Linked DNA regions of Mus musculus. The protein of the gene in region 1 interacts with the protein of each later gene in a biochemical or structural test. Links are inferred from orthologs where the notes say so. Each region holds a gene or a part of one and is shown on either strand. Other genes may lie near its edges. The genes, in order: Dlg1, Arhgef16, Kcna4, Arhgef26, Evi5, Tanc1 and Iqsec2.

Region 1 (3,940 bases):
ATTGTCAAGGACACAGAAAAGGCCTGTCAGGTTTATTGAAAAACCAAAAAACCCCTCATCTTTCTCCCCCTTTAATTAAAACACAAGTACCGGTAGATTGATTTTAAATGTGTCTGTGCATGGAGGTTAAAGGACAAACAGGAGGCTCTCTCCTTCCACCATGTGGGACCCAGGGATGGAATTCAGGTTATCAGGCTCATAGGCAAGAACCTTAACCAAGCGAATCATCTTCAAGCTGGATCCAAGCAGATCCAGCCTTACGGTTTGACACACATGGATCTCTGCATTTCTGGTTCTGCTTCAAGAACTTCTGACGACTTTGGAAAAATTCTCCTGGGCTATGGAGCAGAGAAGTTCCTGCTGCTCAAAAGCAGCTCGAGTCAGTGACTTGGAGAACTTTCCCCTTCAGGCTCAGTTCTAGAGCAAGTGTCCCTTGGGACTGTTTGTTGGGCTGTGAGGTGCTTGAAATTTAAACTAGGTGTGAGGGCTGGCAGCGAGAGGCTTGCTTTCTTTGTTTTCCACCTGAGACAGGGTTTCTTCTCTGTGTAGTCCTAGCTGTTCTGGAACTCACTGTTCTGGATGGCCTCGAACTCACAAAGATTAGCCTTACTTAGCCTTTCTGGGATTAAAGTCCTGTGCCACCACCGCTGGGGTAGACAGGTGAGTTTCTTAAAGGGACCGCCATAAGATGGGTAACTCCTGGGAGCATCTCTGGGCGGGGACACATTCATGAACGCACAAATGAATGCAGGCATGAATGAATGAAATATTAACGACTGAACTTTTCACTTGTTTAAACGGCTCGTACTAGGAGTTAACCACTTAGACCTAAAAATCCTCTGAAACCCTCAAACGTTTAGCAAACTAATCCGTCTCCGCTTTACATCCGGTCCTTAATGAAACTCCTCAAACCTTTTTTTTTTTTTTTTTTTTTGTTTTTCTGGACAAACGAATAATTTAAAAACCAGCAAAAAGTGGAAGACATACAATACCCCTTCCCCTCCTAAGTCCCTTCTTCCTCCGCCCCTTAACGCGGGTGACTGGTGCGCAGCTCCGCACAAATTCCTTTTTCCCTGTTGGGGATCCACCCCGGGCGTGCCAGGCACTCTTCCTTTCTTGAAGTTGGCCAGCACGTGTTCAGTGAGGTGAGGGGTGTCTTGAGCTTGTTTCTTGGGATCTAGCGCAGGTGAGGTCACTTCTCTCTTTCAAAGTCTCCAGCAACTCGAGTCCGGCGCGCTAGTTCAGAACCGCAGGCCACCGGAGGTGGGCTAGGGCAACGTGCAGGCTTGCTGTCCCAAAGCCACTTCGGGCCACCTGTAGAGCGCGTGTCAACTCCTTTGTCCCCAGAGCCGCTTCCACCGGAGCTCCTCTCCGCAAGGCGCTTCCCTGTGGATGCTTAAGGGTCCTCCTTCCAGTACTCCAGCCCCCTCCCCGCCCTCCTCCCGGCCCTCCTCCCTTCTCCAACCCCGGTAGCAGCGCCCGGAGCCCGGGGCTCGGAGCGAGCCGCCTCCTCACTTCTCATTGGCTGAGAGCGTCGGGGAAAGCAGTCACGTGGGCGCGCGGCAGGCCAGCTCCAGGGCCGCCATCTTGGCGGAAAGTTTAGGGGGAGAGCGACTGGGGGCGCGGAAGGAGGCGAGGTTCCGGGGGTGGGGCGGCCCGGAGGCGAGCGGACGAGCAGGGGCCGCGGGCCGCGGCGAGCGGGCGAGCGGCGGCGGCCGAGGCGGAGAGAGCGGCGCGGGGGTGCGGCCGCCGAAGGGGGAGCTCCTCCCCCGTCCCCTCACCCCCTCAGCTGAGCTCGGGGCGGGGCGGGGTACGTGGAGCGGGGCCGGGCGGGGAAGCTGCTCCGAGTCCGGCCGGAGCGCACCCGGGGCGCCCGCGTACGCCGCTCGCGGGAACTTTGCGGCGGAGCCGCAGGTGTGGAGGCCGCGGAGGGGGGTGCATGAGCGGCGCGGAGAGCGGCGGCTGTCCGGTCCGGCCCCTGCTGGAGTCGCCGCCGGGAGGAGACGAACGAGGAACCAGGCAAGCGAGAGGAGGGGGCCCGAGCGGGCCGGGGGAGCAGCCGGGCGCTCGGCTGGGCGCTGCGCGGCTGGGCACGGGCCGGCCCGCGGCAGCAGGTGGGGAGCGTGGCAAGCACGCCTTGGCGGCGGCGGCGGCCGCGGCGGCCGGGCTTCTCCTCTTCAGGTGCTCTTTGCGGAGGGGGGAGCTCTGGAGGCACCTACCGAAGCGGGCTTGGGTCTGATCTTAATCTGTAGGGGGCATAGCGACCCCCGAGAACTCGCTTTCCGCTTTGGCTGACACTGCTGGGGGTTTGAGGCTTCTGCTTTTTTTCCACTTGGGAAAACTTTGGAAGGTGGGCAGTTCCACCAAGGTTGGAGTTTTTCCCTAGTCGAGAGTTTGGGGCGGGGGATGGGGTCGGGTAGGGTGGGGTGAAGTGGGGTGGGGCGGGGGCAACGAATGGATCCACGATTCAGTTCATTGCATTAGTTCAAGTTTTCCTTCCTGTTTTGTGTTTGTAAAGGTGTGTGCCGCCTTCCTGATTCTGGAGAAAAATGCCGGTCCGGAAGCAAGGTGAGAATTTATTTTGGAACTGTTTTGTGGCTGTCACTTGCTGTAACATACATCAGTGTTGTGGTTACTGTTTTTAAAAGGTTTGTGTGACTTTGAGGAATCAGCAGGCTCTCGCTTTTATTCCTTATGGTATCAGAGCTTCCCATCATTTCAGAAGGTGGAAACATCTAGTTGGTTGCACACACCTTCTTGACATCTGTAGTCATTACAGAAGCAATCAACAGAAGCAATCTGCCCCCTACCATGTCTTTTTCAAAACTTCATTGCTTCAGTATTTCACTTTATCACTCATATCAACACTATTTTGTGAGCAACTCTGTGAGCAACTAGGAATTAATGTTTTGAAACACGTTTTGGTTATAGGAACAAATTGTAGATAACTTGTTCTTGTCTGTTAGGCATTCTAAAAACCAAGTTGCTATCAGTTTAGTTAGACGGTCTTTTAGTCTTGGAAGCTGTCAGTCCACAGCTAACACAGGCTACTCACTTTCTCCTTTCTCTGCTGTGATATAAAGCCTTTAAAATATTTGTCTTAGTAGGGAATGGAATATGGATATAGTGATGGCAGCCCTTGCCTTGGAGGCTCAGGGGAACTTATAGATGTCTTGTAGAGGTAGCGTGTAGCACTCTCATGTAAATATGTATGCAGATACACACAGAGCCTTAATATATACATGAAATTTTCACCGTATTTGTCTTTTCAGATACCCAGAGAGCATTGCATCTGTTGGAAGAATATCGATCGAAACTAAGCCAAACTGAAGACAGACAACTCAGAAGTTCCATAGAGCGGGTTATTAACATATTTCAGAGCAACCTCTTTCAGGCTTTAATAGGTGGGAGTTAAAACTTTTCTACTCTTGACCACTGTACTAGTGCCTGATGCTTCTCTGTTATGTTAAACTTAGAATTTGAAAGACAATGTGTTTGGCTCTCTAGATGGTCCTTAACTTAGGACATCTCTAGTGATTTTTTATTTTGCAGTTAGGCCACTGTCACTTCTAAAAATGTTTAATTATCAGAAAAACTTCTGGTCTGGTGATTTCTGTGCACTTTGAGAGCACAGTTTCATGTCTTAGAGTTAACAGCTGGAATATGGACAAGTTGTAGAAATGTTTTAGGACACCAGTCGTGACAACTGAACTACTGTTGGTGTTTTTGTAGTTGGCGTGTGTTTCTCTGGAATCCTTGGAAATATTTGAAAGGCTCTGCTGCTGTGCTTGAGAGCATTTGCCTCTCTGACACACACACACACACACACACACACACACACACACCCTCTGTTAGAGTTGCCATTTGTGGAATATGAATTTTAGACCTGAAACATGATCTCAGAGATGATGCTGTCTAATTACCTTATTCTAGTATTCCT
Region 2 (3,500 bases), on another chromosome or scaffold:
ATGCTCTTCCCATGATGCTGAGTGCAGCCCTAGGCGACAGAGGGCATGTACTCATCTTTGGAGTACGCTACAGCTGGATGGCAGCCTTCACTTATATATATGGGGAAACTGAGGCTCAGAAGTATTAGGTAATTTGTTAGGGGTCAAAAAGCCACAAAGGGCCGGGCGTGGTGGCGCATGCCTTTAATCCCAGCACTCGGGAGGCAGAGGCAGGTGGATTTCTGAGATCGAGGCCAGCCTGGTCTACAGAGTGAGTTCCAGGACAGCCAGGGCTATACAGAGAAACCCTGTCTCATAAAAAAAAAAAAAAAAAAAAAAAAAAAAAAAGCCACAAAGGCCCATCTTAGGCCCTTCATGGAAGCTGACTGAACCCTGTGACTGGGATGCCCCTGAGTCTGAGGGAAGCACCTTAGGCCCAGAGACCTCCTAGCTCCCTATCCTGGGAATCAACTGCCTTGAATGGCTGTTAAACAGAGGTTCTCCCATCTGACCTGATAAGCAGAACGGATGGGGGAAGGAAAGGCTACTACTATCTGATCATGGTCTTCCTGCCCAGTGGCTATCTGTAGCAGATACCTGGAGACCCAGAGAGCCAGGACCCCATTCTGTTCTGAACAGCTGGGTCTACACCATAGCTCAGGAATGAGCTCTGCTCACCCGGGGCAGGGCTGGGGGACAGGTGGTGAGGGCTACCCACTGACCCTCCTTATCCCACTGGCAGCCTGAGCCTGGCCCTGCTGAAAGTGTCATCAGACAGGCTGGCTCCATGCTTGGGTTGGTTCCTTCTGCTGTCCACTCTGGATGGAAGCAGGGATGGAGGACTCCCAAGAGCCTGAGTCAACCTCCTCCAGCCACAGCAATGAGATTCAAATGGATTCGGTTAAACCAAGATGGTCAGGAGCCTGCACCCGGCAAGGCTCAGTAATAGCGGCCATTCATGATGCCAAATGTGAAAGACGCAGGACCAAGCTGGCTCCCTGCCTGTGAACCCCAGAGCTCCTAGACACACTGCCCACCCTGCTGTCGGGGCAGGTCCCTACCTTATTTTTGGCTGGATACCGGGAGGGAGGCTGAGCAGCCTCCTCAGCGAGAGCCTGGAGCTTGGGGCCAAGCTGGACTGAGTCCCCCTTGCTACTGGGTGGCCCCGGCCCCTTCATGGCTGCCCTGTAGGACTGGTTCCTCAGGTTGCGCCTCAGGTTCCCGGTAGTAACCATGTCCATATCCATGTCATCCAACGAGAAGCTGGGGGCTGAGAAGAGCTGAGGATTCCGCCTGGCAGCCTCCTTGCTGAGCACAGCCGCCCCAAAGCTCTGGTGGCGGGCTGGGGACTTGGTCTTGGCCTTGCTGGCCACAGCCAGACTTTTGGGGATGAGCTGCTGCGTGCCCATCTTGAGGGCCGCGGGGCTTTGCGTGCTAAGGACGATGGGCCGAGGAGGCTCTTCGTCTTCTGGTGACGGAGGTGGCGGCAGGGGTTCTGAGGCATCTGGCTCAAAGGCAGCATTGGCTCTGGCTTTCAAGGAGCTCCGGACCATGGGGAGTCCAGGGATAGGGTTCCCGTTGGCATCGAGGCGCAGCTCTGCGTGGAAGCGATACTCCAGTAGTTTCTCATCCAGAGAGCTGTCAGAATGTCTCTGGGACATGCTGGTGACAGAGGAGGCCTAGAGAGAGGCAAGCAAGAGGTGAAAGGCTGGGGAGAAGGGGGATATCTGCATACAGCCTCCCTGGGCCCAACCCTGATCCTTGTATAACTGCTCTTCTCTGAGATCAAAGACTTGGTGGGAGCAGAGAGTGGCTGGAATGAGCCTGGGGGACCACCCTGATTTCTCTGACACAACTGCTAAGTCCTGGGCAGGACTTAGCAACTAAGGGAAGATCCGTGGCTGGGCCCAGAAGCAACAGAGACCAGGACCAGAATCCTGGCTAGGCCCCTTATTGATGTATGGGTATTTTGTGTATGGTTTTCCTGGAGTTAATGATGGTTTCTTGAGACTGCAGCAAATGCTGTGGATGAGACCATGGCCCTGCCTGGCTCTGCCTTCTTGTTAAGGGGCCATCTGACCCTGAGATCATGAGGAAGAGCAAGCAGGATGGAGGCAGAAAGAGAGGACACTTTCCACCTGACCATGGCCCTCCTGCTCAGTGGCGTCCACCACAGAAGCAGCAGAGCCAGGATCTGAGTGGAGCCGGCTGCCTCCCCTCTCCTGGCCAGGCAGAGTTTCCAAGGCTGGCTAAGAAGACTCTCCTCACAGCACTCTCCAACACACATTTGTACTTTCAGAAGTTGGGGGTTCATAATCCCCATCTTGGGAGTCCCAAGGTGAACCCTGGGTCACAGTGCAGGTGAGGGAGGCAGTGGCAGGATCTTCAATCAGCCTGAGTCATAGCCTGGCGACCGAAAGCCACCGCCAACATGCGATTCCTCAGCCACTCCACCCGTGCATCCCAGCAGAGCAGCGCATGTGCCTGAGGCCCGTCTCTGACTCCTTTACCCTTAGCATTGTCTCCCCCACCCCTGTCTGCCACCGTGGCCCATTAGGAACCTGTTAGGATATCCTCAGGTGAGGGCATTGTTCTTACTGAGCCCATTTTGCAGATTTGAAGACTGAATTTGAGTGGTGGCATCTTTAATCATTGAGTCATAGCCTGTCAACAGCAGGCAGCCTTGAGTGGTGGTTTCCAGAATGTTCTATCTCCTCCTACAGCATTAGCATTTTCTGTTCCCTTGGTACCACACAGTCTAAGGCTGAGCTTTGGCTAACTAAGAGGAAGGGGTGACCCTCCCGGGCAGGGAATCCTGCAGGCCTGAGAGACTGAAATGAACAGAGCTATGGTCTAGATACAGCAAGAGCCAGCGTAAAGGCTGGTGTGGAAGAAACATTGTGTGGGGACCAGTCAGCAAGACTGACCAATCTGCTTAGGGTCAGCTGTCCACTTACCTCCGTGACTGGGGGTCCTCCACACTTGTCAGGAGTTGCCCTGTTGGGGGCCTGGAAACCTGGGGTCCTTAATGATTAAAAGATGCCACCACTCAGTTTCAGTCTTCAAATCTGCAAAATGGGCTCAGTAAGAACAAGGCCCTCACCTGAGGATATCTAACAGGTTCCTAAATGACCTGCAGAGTCCAGTCAAACATCCCTGACTGGCTGGAAGGGCTGTAAAGCAGCAGCCAAGGCTTTTCTGAACCAAACAGAATTCCTGGCATCTCTGGCATCTGACGCTGCACTTAAGACAGGCCAGCAAGAGTCAAGGAACTCTATAGGACCCTAATGTAAAGTTTCCAGGGGGAAACTGCCTCTTGAAAAAAAATTCCCTTTATTTTTTTCTAATAACAAAGGAGCCAGCATAGAGGAAGCCTTTTATATGCTCAGAACTCTGTATAGGTTGAAATGACTTGAGCCTAAGAGGACCCTAGAGACACCCCATAAAACCTCAGCACCGAACAGGCTGGGGCAGGAGGCTCTTGAGTTCGAGGCCAGCCTGGGTCACATACACAGTGAGAC
Region 3 (2,708 bases), on another chromosome or scaffold:
GAGCTTGAAGATCCGGAATACTCGGACCAGACGAATGATCCTAAGGATGGCAAAGGACATGGCCTGCTGCTGCTGGCCATTGCCACCCCCCTGCTGTTGGGCCAGGTCAGTGCCCAGAGTGATGAAGTAAGGCAAAATGGAGACGATATCAATGATGTTCATGATGTTTTTGAAGAAGAGTGCTTGGCTGGGACAAGCAAAGCATCGAACCACAAACTCAAAGGAAAACCACACAATACACACTGTCTCCACGATGAAGAAAGGGTCATTGAATATTGTGTGCCCTGAGTTCTCCAGGTGGGGTGCCGAGGTGTCATTCAGCAATCTGCTGTGCCCGCCTGCACTGAGGGCCATAATAAGGTCCCTATCATCCCTGAACTCCGGCAAGGTTTCCAGGCAAAATATGACAATAGAGATTAAGATGACCAGGACAGACACAATGGCTATACCCCTGGCAGGGCTAGAACTCTCTGGATATTCAAAGAGAAGCCAAATCTGTTTTTTAAATTCATTTTCTGGCAGAGCCCTGTCCTCCTCTTCTCTCACAAAGCCCTCATCCTCCCGGAACTTGAGCAGGGCTTCCTCTCCCAACTGATAGAACTTCACCTCCTCGGTGAAGATATCAAAGGGGACATTGACTGGTCTCTTCAGGCGGCCTCCTGACTGGTAATAATACAAAATGGCATCAAAGCTGGGTCGGTTCCGATCAAAAAAATACTCATTGCGCAAAGGGTCGAAGTACTGAGTCCTCTTCTCAGGGTCTCCCAACAGAGTTTCTGGAAACTGGGCCAAAGTTTTCATTTGGGTTTCGAAGCGTAGACCAGACACATTTATCACCACACGTTCACAGCAGTCACTATAGCGGACTGAACTGTAGCCGCCACCACCCCCATCATCCTGTGGCAGCAGGTCTGTGTACGAACACCCATCCCCATGGTCTTCTTCACTATAGTAAAACCTTCCCTCCTCCTCCTCCTCCTCTTCCTCCTCCTCGTCTTCCTCTTCCTCGCTTAGCTCCCTCAGGATCTTCTCTTCAGAGCCACTGGGCATCAGGTCTGAGCAATGAGGAAAACTGCTCTGCCTGTGGTGGAGTTTCTTCTTCTCAGTTCGCTGACGCCTCCTCCTTCTACTTCCACGGCTACCTTGAGGATCATGGGAGGAGTAGGCCCCACGTGTCTGATGATGGTGGTGGGGGCCTCCACCAGAACCCCCAGTGCCTTCGACAGCAGCCGTGGCAGCTGCGACAGCAGCAGCTGCAGCTGCCCTGGAGTGAGCGAGTCTCTCCCGCTCTCGGGCCCTGGCCTGGGCTGCATAACCATAAGGCATATGGCTGTTGCACCCTGAGCTCTCGGCACTCACCATCGCCACTTCCATGGTGGTGGTTTGGGGAAATGGCTGCTTCCAGTTGTAAGAGAAGAAGAAAGAAAAATAGGGCAGCTTATTTTCTTACCAAATTAAGGTAAGTTTGGAAGCCTTAAGCAGATTGCTTAGAAGACGTGGGATATTTTCAGTCCAACTTTGCATTTTCTGTTTTTAAATCAGCACAGCCTATGCTCCCTCTTCTCAGAGACTCGGCGTTGCTTTCCAGAGCTTGCCTCGTCTAGACAACAGCCTAGTGTTCCTCAAACATAAGTCATGAAATGATGTGGTCTCCCATACACCTACGTGTTGGGGGGTAGATGTTCAAATCTGGAAGTCTGTCTGGGATGCTGTCCGGTGATGACGCCACAAGACTCAAAGACAGCAAGTATCTGACACTCAGAAGTTGTGCCTAGAAAATGAAATATACTTTTTCTTGCATGGAAATTGGCCAAGGCCCAGTCCATCTAATTTAAATAAAATTCAAATAAGTCTTTAGTCTTAGCACTTGCCTTCTACTGATGGCTTGACCCATGTTAAAATGCGGCTTAAAATATGCCCAGCCATTGCTGCTTAGTCTATGAGGGTGGACTCCCAGACCTTCCCTCTAAGGTCATCCAAGCCTTCATGGACCCACAGACAATGCCAGGTTGTAGATAGAGGCAAAGACCTTGGAAGGTAGAGAAGGTGGTAGACGCAGTTCCAGCAGAGGCAAACTCAACACTGAGGTCTCCATAGAAAGCAGGAAATGAAGAGCATCCTTTGGCTAGAATCATTCACAAGAAGCACTTCACCTGAAGAGGGATGGGAAATAAGCACAGGGGAAAAAAAAAAGAATCAAACCATAGAGAGCAAACAGCCCTTTACTCCACATACACTGCTCTTGTCCTCAGGCAAATCATGAAACACACACCAGGAGACCATAACTTTTCAAGAATACGGGGCAGGCTGCTCTAAAATCTCTCCCACTCAGCATCCACCTTGCTCTCTTCTTTTGTCATTGGTTCAGATCAGTCTGTTTGGTGGCAACTCATTTGTTTAGGTCCTGTCCATTCTCAACCCACACGGTTCTTGCTTTCCTCTGCCCCTTCACCAATGCCAGGTTTAATTCTCAATAGTATCCTCTTCATTCCACAACAGTGATGCTCTGACTTTACAGCTGTTTCCAGTATTCATTTATCTCAAGGAATTCTCCTTAAAATTTTCACTCATGGAATGTTGCTGAATTAAGTACCCTTACATTTTTCTTTTTCTTGGGATTAAAGAAGTGGGGAAATAAAACATTTTTCTTCAGTTTAGACTCCACTACTTGAATGATCATCAATTTCCTAATCATAAAATGTAGACAA
Region 4 (3,500 bases), on another chromosome or scaffold:
GGCATCCCATTATTTGTCAGGACCTACTAACAGTGCTTGAGGATTGTCACCTTCGAGTACTTTATCAAATATCACCTGCAAGTACTCCAATTCCTTGATGGTTTCCTGGCGAAGGTCATACCTTCATGGCCTGGAGAGAAGCCTGGAGACACCCTTAGGCATCTGGGGAGCCCTCTGTCAGCTTTTCTTCTCAATTTATAGTCCTTCTTTGAAAAGCTAGTTCCAATTTACCTTGTTAGCCTCAACTTCCTCTGTTTAGATAAGATTCAAGCAGCAGCAATACAGTAAACACAGATAGAAGGCTACCTTGATTTTAAATTCCAGCTGGGAATTAATCGTGTACATCATCTCTGTCCGCTCCATCTTCCGTGCTCCTTCATTGCACAGTCGGACCAACTGGGAACACAGCATAAGGAGAGGTAAGAAATCTGAAGGGCAGCCTCAATATTTTATTTTATTTTATTTTGGCCCCTTCTCCCACAAGAAACCACACTTTCAACTTTCCCAGAAAATGATCTACTTTCCAGAAATTCCAGGGACCCGTTTCTGATAGTTAGAGAACTCACAGTTCCACCCAGGAGGGACACTGTGCCCAGATAGGAAGCATGTGACCAAGAGAGAAAAGTGTGGTTGGGGATGGGGTAAAGGACTCAGAAGATTTTCAGAGATGTGTTTCCTCTGTGGCTCCGCACCCTCCACACGAGGTTTCATCACACATGTTAGGTCTCTAACTACTCTGATCCTGTCTTCTGTCTAGCTTCGTCCTTACCTATGAGAACCCAACTCTACCTCAGGGCAGGCTACAGCTCCTACACTCTTCCAGACCAGAGCAGCAGGAGGCAGACTACCAACTTTATAGGCAAAATCTAAGCAGTGTTACATGTCAATCATGGGACCACAAAAAGATTCTGGAAAGGGAAAGTCTGATAATTCTTCAACAATACCCAACTAAGAGAAGCTCTGCTCAATTAAAAATACTGAATGATCTGCAAATAAATGGTCAATGAGCCTTTGATACTTAGTAAATATTTGGGCCACTGGACTAATCCTAAACTTTGCAACCTGGCTTTTAAAGAAGAGTAAAATAATGAGTCTGTTTAAAGCTGATACAAAGAAATAGTACTTTACAGTAAAGTGGAAGGAATATCTTCTTCCATTCATGCAGGAAGCAAGCAAACAACAGGAGATATCCAGGAAGTTTCTGGCATGTTCCGTCTCCACTCCCCTGTGCCTTGCTCATATGTCACCTGCAGGGATGACCATACTTTCCTCTGCTCTCTCAGCCACACCACCTAACAGTAACTAAACATACAGACTTCTATCTTTAAATAAATATCCCTTCCCTTTCAGCCACATCTCTTTCTCTTTGTAGGCCTGGTCCCTGGAGGAGCCAGCCACCGAGCAGCTGGCTCTATGGTTGGCACACCCTGCTCACTGCTCAGCATCTTTCAATGTGGTTTCTGTTTCATCTACTTTAGGATGAACTCTACAGACGGCTAAATCATTCGCCTCTCTTCCTTTCTCAAGAGCATCCATGAGCTAATTGCTTAGCCATTTTCTAGGCTATCCTGTTTTCCCTTCCTCTAACATGCCTTATTCGTTTTTACATCTCTTATACTGATTACATTCCTCTAAATGAGACTAAAAAAGTACTAGTGTTCTCTGGGATTTTACTACGGGCTTCTATGCTCCCCATTCTGCATCCTCATACCAGGTAGATCCCTTTATACTCCAAACTCAAATATCCCCTCTGCTGACGATTCCCAGATCCAGGTCTCCAACGTTTGGCTCTCCTCTAAATTCTCATGCAAAATTCATGTTTTATAAGATCTGCATTATTATATATCCAAATGTAATTCATCTTTCCACAGTATGAAGTTAAAAAACAAATGATTCAGTTGTCCAATCAGGGATTATATTTCTTTGACTCCTGTCTTCACCATTTCCAAACCTACTATACATATTTATCTACACATGCACACACACAGCTTCTTCTCATCTTATTTGAATTTATATCTCCATCATTTTATCATCATCTGAGACCATGGCTTCCAACTCCCTAACATATGTAACAGACTCCTCCCTCCTTCCCTCTCACCCTCCCCCTTCCCGCCTCCCAATGAATTCTTCAAATCCTCCAACACTTTTATTTGGGTCTCTACACAACCCAAACACTCTTTCCATGCCTGGCTGACAACTATTCTTGCTGTAGATCTCAGTAAAAATATCACTCTGTGCCCTACCCCACCCCATCAGTCATCACCCTTTACAGTAATTCTATTTACTGTATGTCTTTCTCTTCATTCTGCACATGCCGTAAATGCAATAGCCACATCTGCTTATCAGCAACATTCAGAGGGCAGCATTAGTCCTGCTACAGTAGTTGATACTCAATAAATATTTGTTGGGAGGAGAGAACCAACAAATATCTATTAACACAGCAGACAAAAGGAGATATGAACGGGTACATAAAACAAATCCTATCTGAAACAGTCAACATCCAAACTTACTTGAATTTGGCTTCGTGAATCTCAGTCTTATATAGCAAGCACAGACCTGCAAGACTCTTCCAAAATTTCTACATGGTTTATTGATATCATGGTGAACAGTTACCTTGCTCACTTCCTTCAAGGCCCTTTTGCAGACTTCATACTTTGGAGAGTCCTTGGGTGTTTTTTGACAGATAGTCTAGGATGAAGTAAAAAGAAACAAAGCCAATTGACTTAACATAGGTAGCAAAATAAACTACTATTTAGCTATTTCCTCTTACTCATGCAAAGGACTGTTTCTGAACACAATATGAGGGATGAGGATATTAAAGTGTAACTAACAAAACCTCAAAGTAAGCCGGGCGTGGTGGTGCATGCCTTTAATCCCAGCACTCGGGAGGCAGAGGCAGGCAGATTTCTGAGTTCGAGGCCAGCCTGGTCTACAAAGTGAGTTCCAGGACAGCAAGGGCTATACAGAGAAACCCTGTCTCAAAAAAATAAAACCAAAACAACAAGAACAAAACAAAACAAGACAAAAATTAAAAAAAACTAGGAAGTATTCTTTAAATAAATAGAGCCTAAATACCGAGGAAGACTCAGAGGTCAGTAGGTAGGCTGACAAATCTCAGACCTGCCTTATGCTAGGGATTTACCCATGGGCATGTGGTTGGTTGTAGATAAACATCACTTTCCTCCTCTGCAAACTTCGGCAATGGCAGGTATAAAACAGGCTATTGCAAGAGGCTGATGCTTATCTTATTCTGTTTCCTGTGCAGGGATCCAACCTGGCCTCGCCCCTGCTGAACAGGTGCTCTTCAGAGCCACCTCCCAGCCCTGTTCCAAGAGTTAAATGGTAAGAGATCTGTGCATCTTATCTAAATGCCAAACATACTGTCAGCTCCCAACAAAGGAGAAGTTACTCTGAAGATCCATTAAAGGTAAGCTGAAATATGAATGTCTAAAATATGAAAATATGATCCTAAATCTTTAAAAATACAAAAGTTTTGACTG
Region 5 (3,500 bases), on another chromosome or scaffold:
TTTCAGGAGTTCTGAATACTGGTCCTTAATTGTCATACTCTGTGCATTACATAAAAGTTGCCACACTATTGCTCTGAAGTGATGGGGTATCCCTTTACGAACAAGCTCCTAAAAACAAAAAGAAAACAAAACTTTTAAATGTCTCATACCTTGTGATCCAAGAGTTTTAGGGGGGGAATATTGAAATGGAAAACTTTATGAATTTTATAATTTAAAAAAAATTTTAGTAACAATGAAAATTTTTAAAAAGGGTTACAACTTGACCTTGGGTAAGTTCTGATCAGGGACTACAAAGCCATGATAAATTGTTGTCTCTCTGAAAACATAGCCTTTCAAGGCGTGACGGCCCTGACAGTCCAGAGCTACACACATCACACTACTGCACCATCACATTTAAAGGGCTGCTGAATACACTAGCAAGATTATGCTGAAAGGACCCTGATATAGCTGTCTCTTGTCAGAGTATGCCTGGGCCTAGCAAACATAGAAGTGGATGCTCACAGTCGGCTATTGGATGGATCACATGGCCCCCAATGAAGGAGCTAGAGAAAGTACCAAAGAAGCTAAAGGGATCTGCAACCCTATAGGTGGAACAACATTATGAACTAACCAGTACCCCGGAGCTCTTGACTCTAGCTGCATATGCATCAAAAGATGGCCTAGTCGGCCATCACTGGAAAGAGAGGCCCATTGGACACGCAAACTTTATATGCCCCAGTACAGGGGAACGCCAGGGCCATAAAAGGGGAGTGGGTGGGTAGGGGAGAGGGGGTGGGCGGCTATGGGGGACTTTTGGTATAGCATTGCAAATGTAAATGAGCGAAATACCTAATAAAAAATGGAAAAAAAAAAAAAGAAAAGAAAAAAAATAAAAAATAAAGGGCTGCTGAAGGAAAAAGGCAAAATGCTAACACAGTATGTCTCCATTTCATTTCTGAATTTACAAAATGGGAGAATTTAACTTCTAAAAATATTTTTTTTCAACTGTGAATCTCTACAACCTAGACTTCTTTCTATCAAGCATGGACAATGAAGACATATAAAGGCAACCTGTTCCTTACACAGCACACAGGTTACTAGGAGAATCCTTCCATTTCTCCTAATGCCTCTTACCCTCTGGGATAAGAGAAAGAACTTCCGTAAACAATGTAAATACCTTCACTTGCTTTTCTTTCTTCTTGCGTACATCATCCCATTCATTCACAATTCTTCCCCAGAGAATCCAAGAGTCTTCCTCCAGGTGGCTGAGGTTGCTGGAGGCTGATGAACTTGATACAAGAGAGGAACCACTGTTTCTTCTTGACCCATTCACTGATCTTAAAGACTTACTGTCTGTCTCTATTAATCTAAACAGAATTAAAGGTGTTTAAGATACCATCTCACATGATACTAGATAAAGTAAGGACAGCATTTAAAAACTTCACGACAATTATTAGCTTTTGTTGTTGCTGAGACAGGGATTCTAGTTGTAGCCCTGGCTGTCCTGGAACTCACTCTGTAGACCAGGCTGGCCTCAAACTCACAAAGATCCACATGCCTCTGCCTCCAGAATAGCTTAAAAGTAAGCACCATCATGCCAGCTCTAAGTTACAGTTTTAACAATTTTTGTTTGGTTGAAATCAGCAACTCTTGCACTTTTTCACTATGCATAGCAGTTAAAAAACTGAACCATTCCAGAACAGCCAGGAAACCCTGTCTTGAAAAAACCAAACAAACAAACAAAAAAACAAAACCTGAGCCAGTAAGATGTATTTTAAGCATTTAATACAATTAGCCCCATTATAATTCATATTCATTGCCACAAAGAGGTCAATGAGAAGGCTCAAAAGGTAAAGTGCTTGCTGCCAAATCTGACAACCTCAGCTCAGTCCCCAGTGCCCACATAACAGAAGAAGAGAACTGACTCCCCTGGGATCTTTCTCCCTGACCTCCACATGTGTGCCACAACACCACACACAAGAGAGCTACAACAAGGAAGGGAGCCCAGCACAGTGGTGCACACCAATAGTCTTAGAATCTCAGCACAGACTCACCTATTAGGAAATTCACTTATTCACTTAATCCCAAGAGTTTTAAAACCAACCTGAACAATTTCAAAAACAATTCAAGGATCAATAAAATGACTCAACAGGTAAAGGCCCTTGCTGATAACCAGAGTGCAATCCCTGGGGTTCACACGGTAGGAGGAGAGAAGCAACTCCCACAAGTTGTCCTCTGACCTCCACACCTGCCCCCAAAAAAATAAATAAATAAGTAGGTGTAATTTTTAGATGTTTTACATTCAAGTTAGGGAGGTCAGGGTGGGAGTGGCTCCATGGGGGAAACAATATTAATATATACTTAACATACACAGTAATCCATAAATCCCATATTTACTATGTACTAGATCTAAAAAGTAATGATTAACCAAATCCCTTCTCTTTTTTCCTTTTCCACACACATGTATAGCCTATATATCTAAACAACGTGTGTGTGTGTGTGTGTGTGCGTGTGTGTATAACTATACATTATACATAAAGATCTGGCAAAACCAGGCTCAAATTCCTAGTCAGTAGCAATAAGTATAGAAATCTACGTGGGCTGGTGAGATGGCTCAGTGGTTAAGAGCGCCGACTGCTCTACCGAAGGTCTGAGTTCAAATCCCAGCAACCACATGGTGGCTCACAACCACCCATAATGAGGTCTGCCGCCCTCTTCTGGTGTGTCTGAAGACAGCTACAGTGTACTTACATAAAAAAAATCTCCTACGCAGCTGAAAGGAGGTTTACAGCCCCATAGGAGGAACAACAATATGAACTAACCAATACACCCAGAGCTCCTAGGGAATAAACCACCAACCAAAGAGTAAACATGGAGGGACTCATGGCTCCAGCCACATCAATAAGAAGAGAGGCCCTTGGTCCTGTGAAAGATCGATAACCCAGTGTAGGGGAATGCCAGGACAGGGAAGCAGGAGTGGGTGGGTTAGGGAGTAGGGAGTGGGGACTGGGGGTGGAATAGGGGGGTTTTCAGAGGGGAAATGAGGAAAGGGGATAACATTTGAAATGTTAACGAAGTAGGCAATAATCACATAAAGACGGTCCAATGTCTTCAGACAACACAGAAGCACAATTTAAACCACACTAACTCTAAAGTCTCCACTCACCCAAGCTAGCCAGCATGGAGCTAACATGGCTTTCAGAAACTGGTGTCAGATTATGAAATGAACCTGTAGTCCACCTCCATTCCCTGGGGATGCCAAACACTACAGCAGACCCAGCTTTCCCCCTTTCTGGGGGCCACTAAATCCTGCCTCCTAGTCAATACCCATTCCTTTGGGTCAACCAACAATACTACCTTGAGTGCGTCCAGTGGACACTGCAAACCTGGACAAGTATGCAATTTTCACTCTACTTCCTATCCTCCAGCATTAAGCTTGCAGGTCCCTCTTCTCCCCAGGCCCAGCCCCAAAGGCCGCCCCCACCCCCCAGCCCACGCCCTAGGGACTGTTGCTGAACTTC
Region 6 (4,233 bases), on another chromosome or scaffold:
CCTGGTTTTTAACAACCAGCATTGGAGGTGGAGGGGGTGTCTGTGACCTTCCTGGCTTACCAGGAGTCCTTACTTGCTTTGAATATTCATGTCATGATTTGCTTGAGTAAAGGCTGGGATATGTTCGCTGCATACTTATAAATATAGTGATAATCAGGTCTTTGACTATACGAGTGAAAAATACCCAACACATTCGAACCATCTTTTATTTATTATGGAGAGATAGATTGAGCAGCCTTTTGCTTCCTGTCACTTTTCACAGGAACTTTAAATGCAAACACCATTCTTGCAGCTATCTTTATATTGGGAAGCTCTATGTGAGGTTGAAGTTTTTATAGGGAAAGTTGTTTAAAACACAGTTGTCTTTAAAGGCAGGTTTGCCACAGCAAAGGTTAGGGGTTGGCAATAAACCCATTTATAGCAACTTCTGTATTCTTCACTCTCCTTACACGGATGGGCGGCCTGTGTGCAATTCCTGTTGGAATTTCTAGTTGATCCTTCTGCAAAGAAAGGGGGCCCAAAGGGCTTTTGGGAATAGAGAGGGCTGAGCCTTCTACATATAAATTGGCTGCCTGGATTCCTGGGAGGTTGTGGAGGACCCAGGTCTCCCAGTTCCCTAGGCCATTTTCAAACTTCTGTTCTATTGGGAATAACAAAACATTTTGGGAACTAGGGAGTTTAATTTACTGCCACCAGCCTACTTAATAATAGCATCTTTGTCTGTTCTTCCTCCAGGACTCCTCCTCCTGACAAGGAAGCTAGCCGCTGGCCAGTGTACTTAGCCCAGACAGTACTGCTAGCCACAGAGTTCGAGGAGGGAGGACTGCCCCTGACTCTGGGCAGTCACTGATCCCCGGAACAACCCCAACTTAACTTTCCAGAAAGAAAAAGGTGCAATGGGCGAGATGCACTTTCCATCTTTCTCAGCTCATTTTGGAACAAGAAAGTGTATTTGTTTGTGTTTAGTTAAGCGAGGGGAAGAAAAGCCAACAAAGCCACCCTAAGGCATCCGCGGAAACTTCAGCTTGGCTAATTGCTCCCATATGTCCTCCTCGGATGCTTTCAGAGAGCAGCGCAGACCGAAGGCCGAGCCACTTTACTGATTCTAAAACGGCTAAAAAAAGGAGGAGAGGGCTAATCACACTTCTGATCCTGTCCCACTGGGGTCCAGGCGAGGCCCCAGGGGAGCAACCTTCTCCCGGAAAGCTTAGCTTCCCGCAGAGGACATGCTGGGTGAGGAGGGGGCGAAGGCGCCGGGAGGAAAGTTGGCGTGCGGCGCCCCAGCGGGTCCCAGAGCCGGGGCAGCTCCGGTCGGGAGGGGCGCGGGAGGCACAGCCCCGGCGGGCGCGCACAGGGAAGGTGCCTTCCGGAACACGCGCAAGGGCGGGGACTCGCGCTGCCAATGAGGTCCCGGTGTGGGCCGAGCGAGGCGCGGGGACGGGCCGGAGCGCTGCCTCCGCGGTGGCAGCTGCGGGAGCCCGGCTCGGGAGCCGCAGGAGCCGCAGCCGCCAAGCGCCCAGCCCTCTGCGCCCTGAGGCTCGGCCCCCGGGGTGGGAACCGCGCCGAAAGCTGGAAACTTTCCTGGCAGGTAACTCTCGCTGCCGGGGCGCCGCTGCCGGCCCCCGGGAGTCCGCAGCGGGCGGGGAAGGAAGGGTCCCGGAGAGCAGCCTGGGAAACGAGAGCCAGGCTGGTGGGAAAGTTTCGGGACGCCCCCTCCTCCGCCGGGCCCAGCGGGAGCTTTCCCGGAATAGGCGCAGGCACGCCGGAGCTCCCGGCCTGGGGCTAGGCGCTGCCGGGGAGTCGGTGCAGGCCGTTTCCTGCGCTCCCGGAGGAACGGGTTGCAGCAGAGCCGGGCTAGGGGGACATTGGGATCACGCGGCGCTCAGGACTTTCCCAGCCGGCCCTTGCCCGCCTCTTCGGTCCCTTGGCTAGACAGGGCCTGGGCTGCGCCGGGCACCTGGGTGGGGGGAGTAGGGGGACGTGCAGGCGGGGCGCCTGGCACCGCGGGGTCTTGAGTGTCGCCGCGCGCGGGTCGCCAAGTTCCCGGGAGAACTTCAGCGGGGGTGGGGGTGGGGTGGGGAATCGTATCGCCCACCGTGAGCTGAAAGTGTGTGATTCGCTCCTGCAGGCTGCGGCTCGCAGATGCAAGCCAATTTCTTTCCCTGGTGGTGTTGGTGATAGGGTGATGATTTGGGATTAGACCTTGAGGATTTTTTTTTTTTCTCTTCCTTTTAGTAGTGCCAGCTAAATGAAGGGTCGTGTCAAGTTTGCGAGTCCCCTTGTCCTTGGGCGACGAGTAGTTACTTTGGAGGCATTATGGGGATTCAGGTTCTTCCTGGAGGACTTTTGGGTGTGTGTGTGTGTGTGGGGGGGGGCCCTTGGGTTCGGCGCGGCCGCTTTCCGGAACGGCTGGCGGGGAAGGAAGCCCTGGGCATTGTGTAGCGTGTTTTCAGTCAGCAAGATCTCTGGACTGGAGTTCCCAAAACTTACTTGACTTATTGTGTAAAGGCTCCCGGAGGAAATGCGGCCATGGCCAGGTAGAAGAAACGCGGTGCCGCGGCCGAGGGAGGAGGACGCCGAGCTGTGACAGTCTTCTTCAGGCTGCCTCGGCTCCGGCTTGGCAGCCCCAGATTCTTGTGCCTGGAGTAGTGGGACCGGTCTGAGTAATACAGCTTCCTGCAGAGTGAACTCAGGGTGGTGAGGAGAGCACCTTCATCTTGAACTTGACCCCCGGAGTAGCGTCCTGGCGGGTTAAAAGGTAAAGGCAGGCTGAGTCTTAACCTGTAAAGGAGTTCAGACGCCGCTAGCTCCTGGTTCAAGATCTTTCAGGAAAGGACTCAGGGTGGCTGAGGTCGCGAACTCTAGAAATGCCAGACTCATCAGACTACGAAGTTAGTGTGCCTGGGGAGAGCAGGAGAAACCTGGTTGGCTGGCACAGAGGGTTAGTTTTTCTTTGTGGTGAAAAAGAAGGGAGTCTTGCGTCTCTGCTTACACCAGATCCGCTACTCCCCTCCACCCACACCCCCTTCCTGGGTCATCCTTATCCTGCCAGGCTGGCACTCCAGGGATGGGGGAGGGAGGAAGAGAAGAAGCCGTTGTGGAGCTTCTCTGGGCAGCCCGGAGGTATTTCAGATCTGCTACTGGGAAGAGTTCTGGATTTTAACAGCTGCTTTTTGATTGCTGGGAATGAAAGAATTTATGAGCGCCTGAGAGAGGTGCTCATTATGGTACTGTTCTGCGTGCTTTGCTCATCTGGGCTACTTAAAGAGCTCACAGGGACTTCCTTACAATCTGCAAAGTCTGTGTCAGCTGGAATGCTTGTGGGTGTCAATCAAAAAGCATCATAAATAGATCTTGGTGCTTTTACAATGAAAAGCATGCCAAGCCAAGGAAGTTTGGCGTGTGACTGCGTTAGAGATTCCTTCGTAGACCTTTTTTTCTTACCATCCAACTTGATGTTTCCAGGCTTCTTGACTGCTGTGATTGGACAGTGAGGGAAATAGTGTGATTGGACAGTGAGGGAAATCATTGATTTTGGTGGGGGTGGGAAAGTCCAGAAATAAATTTAAGGTCACTTCCATGTTTCTGTCTTGCAATTCTCATGCCACGAACTTAACTTTTGCTGGAACGCCAAAGTATTGATTTTCTTGCTTTTTTGGTTTAACCACCAGAATGTCTAAATTATCATAATTCATGTTCATCGTGGAGCTAAAACATAACTGATTCGTAGTCAGCCCTTTTCTGCTTCTCATAACAGCCAGAAGAACATTTTGTCTCTTTAACCACATGCAATTTATTTGATGCCATAGTCGGGTTTTGATGCCTGGTGATCGAGGGCACAGTTTTAGAGACAATGGAATTACTTTGACTAAATCATCCATTTTTAGACAACTTCTTTTCTGGGTTGCTGATTAATTCTTTATCTCCCAGAGAACATTAAAAGCCCTGTCCCTGGGCTAGTAGAGCTGTAATCCATATTATAATGAGGTTTGTCTGAATAGCTGGGAGGGAGGTAGGTCTGTTTTCACCAGGCACTTCAAACTCAATAGTAAAGATCTTATTTCTGTTACGTCAAGAATTTGCTAGTTAGAAAAATGGATTTATGCTCTTGTCCAATGTATATGAGGCCTTGTTGAGGGAAGAACAAACTTTTATTTTTATTATGGGACCTTTAGTTTTAACTTGTGGGAATAAATGTATAAATAAATTTATAGACACACACACACACACACA
Region 7 (3,500 bases), on another chromosome or scaffold:
TGCCTTCTCCACCAGCTTGCAAGGAAGCTCACATTTGCCTAGAGGTCTGAGGTCACCAACTAGACCTCCAGGGACAAGAAAGAGGAGAGGAAGACAGGAACAGGAGGACGAGGCCTACTGAGAGGCTCTTACCACTTCCCAGCACTGCAGTGCCCTACGTTCAGGCTGCAAGTGGCAAGGGCCCTCCAATCTGAAAGGAAACCCCATGACAACTGCTGGGGGTTGGAAGAAGGGTCTGGAGATACAGAGGAAGTGGAAAGAAAGACACTGCTGAGTGTGTATATATATTTTGAAAAAACCGAGGAAGAAGAGAGGGGCAAGGTCCCTCTCCTGTGGATTTCTCCAGACTATCCTGCTCCCCAGTACACTCATCCCGTTCCTCAGACCACAGTGCTGATCCGGCTTGGCTTGGCCTTGGGGTTTGCACTGGGTGGATTAGCCGTGCCAGGGGGCCCAGAGGCGTGCAGTGGGCCATGGGGGGAGGTGGGTGGTAGGGGTGAATGTGGGGTGTGAGGTGAGGGTGGGGGCAGGGGAGGGTAGGAGGGATGAGGTGGGATGGGTGAGTGTGGTGACAGTGGTGATTGGGGGTGGTGAGGGTGGGAATAGGATCCCCCTGGTGGCCGGGACCCAGGGCCCCCAGCTGCACCTGCTGCTGGCATCATCTGTGGGTGGTGACTGAAGATGAAGTGCTTGGGGCCCTGTTTATGGGCAGGAGGGTGCTGTGGAGCAGGACTGTACAGGGGTAATGGGGATGTGGGCTGGTGCAAGGGGTGGCGGCCGTGTGGAGCAAACTGAGGGTGTCCTCCAGCCCCTCGTCTTGGGGCTCTGCCTGGCCGGCCCAAGGTATAATGCTGGGGTCCTGGAACTGGGCCATGGGCATGGAAGTGTCGATGTGGCCCCACAGGTGGGGCTGAGGCAGGTGGTGGTGGAATGGAGCCCAGCTGGGGCAGGGGTGGAGGCTGCTGAGGGGGTGGAGGCAGAGGGGGTTGCTGGGGTGGGAGGTAGGGTGGTGGGGCAGGGCCCGGTCCTTGGCAATACTGGGCATGCAGGGCCTGGAGCTTGGACTGCCCATCAGGTAGCACCCCCAGGCCACCATGGCTGTGACCATGGTGGTGGTGGTGATGGTGGTGGTGGGTGGAGGAAGCAGATGAAGACGAGGCAGAGGCCTGGCCTGTTGGTGGTGGTGGCATCTGGAAGGGCCCTTTGCCCCTCTTGCTTCCAAATAGGGAGCCCAGGAAAGATGAGGAGTTGGAGACTGGCCTCTGGCTCTTGTACTCCTCTGGCGGCGGGGGTGGGGGCGGAGGTGGCATCCTCTGGTGAGGGCGTGGACTGCTAATAACAGACCCCTGAAAGGGGGGAGGGGGGGAAGTCAGGCCAGTCTAAATATCCTAAACCCCCAACCCTAAATTCCACCCCTGTCCCTGAAGCTGGAGCAACAGGGATCCCAAAGTGACAGTGGAAACCAAACAGCAGTCCTGTATCTGTGGCCAGCTCTGCTCCCAAGCTCTGTTGCCACATCCACTAGCTCAGTTGAACCTCAGAGGGCAGAGGAAAAAGCAGTAGGACTTCCTTAGCATGATCATTTCTCAGGCCAAGAAAATGTGAGGCCTAGAGAGGCAAAGTAACTGGCTCAGGGTCAAAAGAGCAGGATATGGAGGTTAACGTTTCTTGAGGCCCAAATCCAAGGGCCTCCCTATTTGGAGTTGGCCCTGGGGTTGAGAAGGGGCATGGGAGAGTGGAAGACAGACTGAGAGACAGGCAGAGTGAGGACAGACAAGAGTTGAGGACAGATGGAGAAAGTGGTTGTTTGGGAGAGGCAGCCATATGGTTCCCAGCACGGAAGAGGGGTAGGCAACAGGTCCCCCTCCTCCTCTGGGGCTCTATGGCCAGGGCAGGGCTCATGCAGAAATGAGTGGGGCAGGAGCTGACACTTACTTCGATGGTGCTGTCCAGCGATCCCACGCTGTTACGCCGCCCCCGCTTCCCTGCACCCACAAGCAAGGAGCCCAGCGTCAGAGCAGCAACCCTCCCTCCCCACCCTGCTGGGCTCCAGAGCTGGGCACCAGGCCTAGGTCCCTCCCAGGGACAGACACCCCATTGCCCCCTTCCCCCATTGAAGAGGGGGAGGTAGGGAGGAAGAGAGGTTGAGAAGGAGGAAAGAAAGGAGGAAAAGATGGAGGAGAGGCAGTAAAGGAGAGACAGAAGAGGGAAGAGGAGAGGGGCTGAGTCTATGGCCCCACTTTATACTCCCTGGCAGAAACCCTGGGCCCCACCTGTTCTGACCTGGCTACCAGGCCCCCTGTGGCATAGTGCCCAGGGCTCTGAATGGTGAGTGTGTGTGTGTTTGTGTGTGTGTTTTGGGGGAAGGCTGACAGCCAGTGACAGGAGGCAAAGAGGACACCTGGTCCCACATCTCCCCAGCCAAAACAGGGGCCCAGAACACTTACCTGCATCAGAGAGGTCTCGCAGGGAACTACTGAGTGCACCCCGCTTGAGCCCATCGCCTGCCCCATAAGTGTCCTCCAGACTACTGCGGGCCAGAGTCCCATTCACTGAGTCCTTGGCTCCTCCAGGCTGTGAGGCATTAGGCCGCATCATACCTTTCTGCTTTTCCAGCTCCGCTGGATAGCAGTGAAGAAAACGGGCAAAGGTCAAGAAGAGCATTAAGAAAGAACCCACCTGGTTGACTACAGCCTTCCTCTTTTTTTTCCTCCCTCCTTCTGGTTCCCCTCCTTCCTGTCCACTCCCACACCCTAGTAGTAATTGTTTCCCCTAAACTGCTACTCTATCTTCAAAACTCCTTAGGTGCCTACCCCATCCTATGCCACCTGCTCCTTCCTGCTCCTTCTTTTTTCCCCCTCCCTGTAAGTGTAAGTGCCTACTTTCCCTGCTCCCTTTCCATCTTATCCTTCATTTTTTTACCCTTTTGTGTTGTTTTGCAACACTTGGCTCACAGTAAGGATGGGAAGGCCCTTCTAGCCTATGGCGAAGGACAGTCCTTTTAAAGTTCGCTCAGTTCTCAGAGGAGTTCTTGAAAGAGCAAGGGCATGAAATTGATTGGAAGCAAACCCTCTAGTATATGCTGGGCAGTATGCTAGGGACAGTGTATACTTGATCCCTCTCATTCCACATTCTGACCATCATCTACATTGTGCAGAGGAAACTGAGAATCTGAGAAGTCACAGTTTGCTCAGGGTCAGAGAGTTGAAATTTGTGAAGTCAACATTCTGGAAGCAGGTCTATCCTACTCTCCTGGCTCCCCTATATCCCCAGTAAGGTCAGGGAAACTGATCTATTGGGCCTCTTGTTCTCTTGATATGGCTAACCTCTTACACTTCCCCTGGAAGCTCTGGAATCCACTGAACTGATACTCTGTTTTGCTGAAGACCTATCAAGGAACTAACTACTGCTTCTCTTTCTCTCTGCCTTCTTTCTCCTTGATGCCATGTTACTTAACTAGGACTGCTTAGCTTAGAGAAGAAAAGACAAGAGAAAGAGAA

Evidence for each region.
Region 2: the proteins of Dlg1 (region 1) and Arhgef16 interact in a test that uses a peptide from one of them, tested with the Homo sapiens proteins (2 studies listed by IntAct, with this or other methods). The link is inferred for Mus musculus from reciprocal best matches to the Homo sapiens genes DLG1 and ARHGEF16.
Region 3: the proteins of Dlg1 (region 1) and Kcna4 interact in a biophysical measurement, tested with the Homo sapiens proteins (2 studies listed by IntAct, with this or other methods). The link is inferred for Mus musculus from reciprocal best matches to the Homo sapiens genes DLG1 and KCNA4.
Region 4: the proteins of Dlg1 (region 1) and Arhgef26 interact in a test that uses a peptide from one of them, tested with the Homo sapiens proteins (2 studies listed by BioGRID and IntAct, with this or other methods). The link is inferred for Mus musculus from reciprocal best matches to the Homo sapiens genes DLG1 and ARHGEF26.
Region 5: the proteins of Dlg1 (region 1) and Evi5 interact in a test that uses a peptide from one of them, tested with the Homo sapiens proteins (2 studies listed by IntAct, with this or other methods). The link is inferred for Mus musculus from reciprocal best matches to the Homo sapiens genes DLG1 and EVI5.
Region 6: the proteins of Dlg1 (region 1) and Tanc1 interact in a test that uses a peptide from one of them, tested with the Homo sapiens proteins (2 studies listed by IntAct, with this or other methods). The link is inferred for Mus musculus from reciprocal best matches to the Homo sapiens genes DLG1 and TANC1.
Region 7: the proteins of Dlg1 (region 1) and Iqsec2 interact in a test that uses a peptide from one of them, tested with the Homo sapiens proteins (2 studies listed by IntAct, with this or other methods). The link is inferred for Mus musculus from reciprocal best matches to the Homo sapiens genes DLG1 and IQSEC2.

What each region holds. Positions count from the first base shown.
Region 1 is NC_000082.6:31,662,303-31,666,242, forward strand, and holds the start of Dlg1 (disks large homolog 1), read left to right. Parts: upstream 1-1,140; 5' UTR 1,141-1,186; intron 1,187-1,632; exon of another isoform or gene 1,633-2,019; intron 2,020-2,518; 5' UTR 2,519-2,549; coding exon 2,550-2,568; intron 2,569-3,272; coding exon 3,273-3,404; intron 3,405-3,940. UniProt on the Homo sapiens protein: Essential multidomain scaffolding protein required for normal development. Recruits channels, receptors and signaling molecules to discrete plasma membrane domains in polarized cells.
Region 2 is NC_000070.6:154,289,896-154,293,395, forward strand, and holds part of Arhgef16 (rho guanine nucleotide exchange factor 16), read right to left. Parts: intron 3,048-3,500; exon of another isoform or gene 2,937-3,047; intron 1,659-2,936; coding exon of another isoform or gene 1,641-1,658; coding exon 1,041-1,640; intron 1-1,040. UniProt on the Homo sapiens protein: Guanyl-nucleotide exchange factor of the RHOG GTPase stimulating the exchange of RHOG-associated GDP for GTP. May play a role in chemotactic cell migration by mediating the activation of RAC1 by EPHA2.
Region 3 is NC_000068.7:107,293,589-107,296,296, reverse strand, and holds part of Kcna4 (potassium voltage-gated channel subfamily A member 4), read right to left. Parts: intron 2,154-2,708; 5' UTR 1,375-2,153; coding exon 1-1,374. UniProt on the Homo sapiens protein: Voltage-gated potassium channel that mediates transmembrane potassium transport in excitable membranes. Forms tetrameric potassium-selective channels through which potassium ions pass in accordance with their electrochemical gradient.
Region 4 is NC_000069.6:62,425,777-62,429,276, reverse strand, and holds part of Arhgef26 (rho guanine nucleotide exchange factor 26), read right to left. Parts: intron 2,689-3,500; coding exon 2,614-2,688; intron 397-2,613; coding exon 307-396; intron 1-306. UniProt on the Homo sapiens protein: Activates RhoG GTPase by promoting the exchange of GDP by GTP. Required for the formation of membrane ruffles during macropinocytosis. Required for the formation of cup-like structures during trans-endothelial migration of leukocytes.
Region 5 is NC_000071.6:107,820,549-107,824,048, forward strand, and holds part of Evi5 (ecotropic viral integration site 5 protein), read right to left. Parts: intron 1,347-3,500; coding exon 1,157-1,346; intron 109-1,156; coding exon 1-108. UniProt on the Homo sapiens protein: Functions as a regulator of cell cycle progression by stabilizing the FBXO5 protein and promoting cyclin-A accumulation during interphase. May play a role in cytokinesis.
Region 6 is NC_000068.7:59,610,609-59,614,841, forward strand, and holds the start of Tanc1 (protein TANC1), read left to right. Parts: upstream 1-1,433; 5' UTR 1,434-1,588; intron 1,589-2,099; exon of another isoform or gene 2,100-2,758; intron 2,759-4,233. UniProt on the Homo sapiens protein: May be a scaffold component in the postsynaptic density.
Region 7 is NC_000086.7:152,220,768-152,224,267, reverse strand, and holds part of Iqsec2 (IQ motif and SEC7 domain-containing protein 2), read right to left. Parts: intron 2,622-3,500; coding exon 2,448-2,621; intron 1,986-2,447; coding exon 1,936-1,985; intron 1,347-1,935; coding exon 381-1,346; 3' UTR 1-380. UniProt on the Homo sapiens protein: Is a guanine nucleotide exchange factor for the ARF GTP-binding proteins.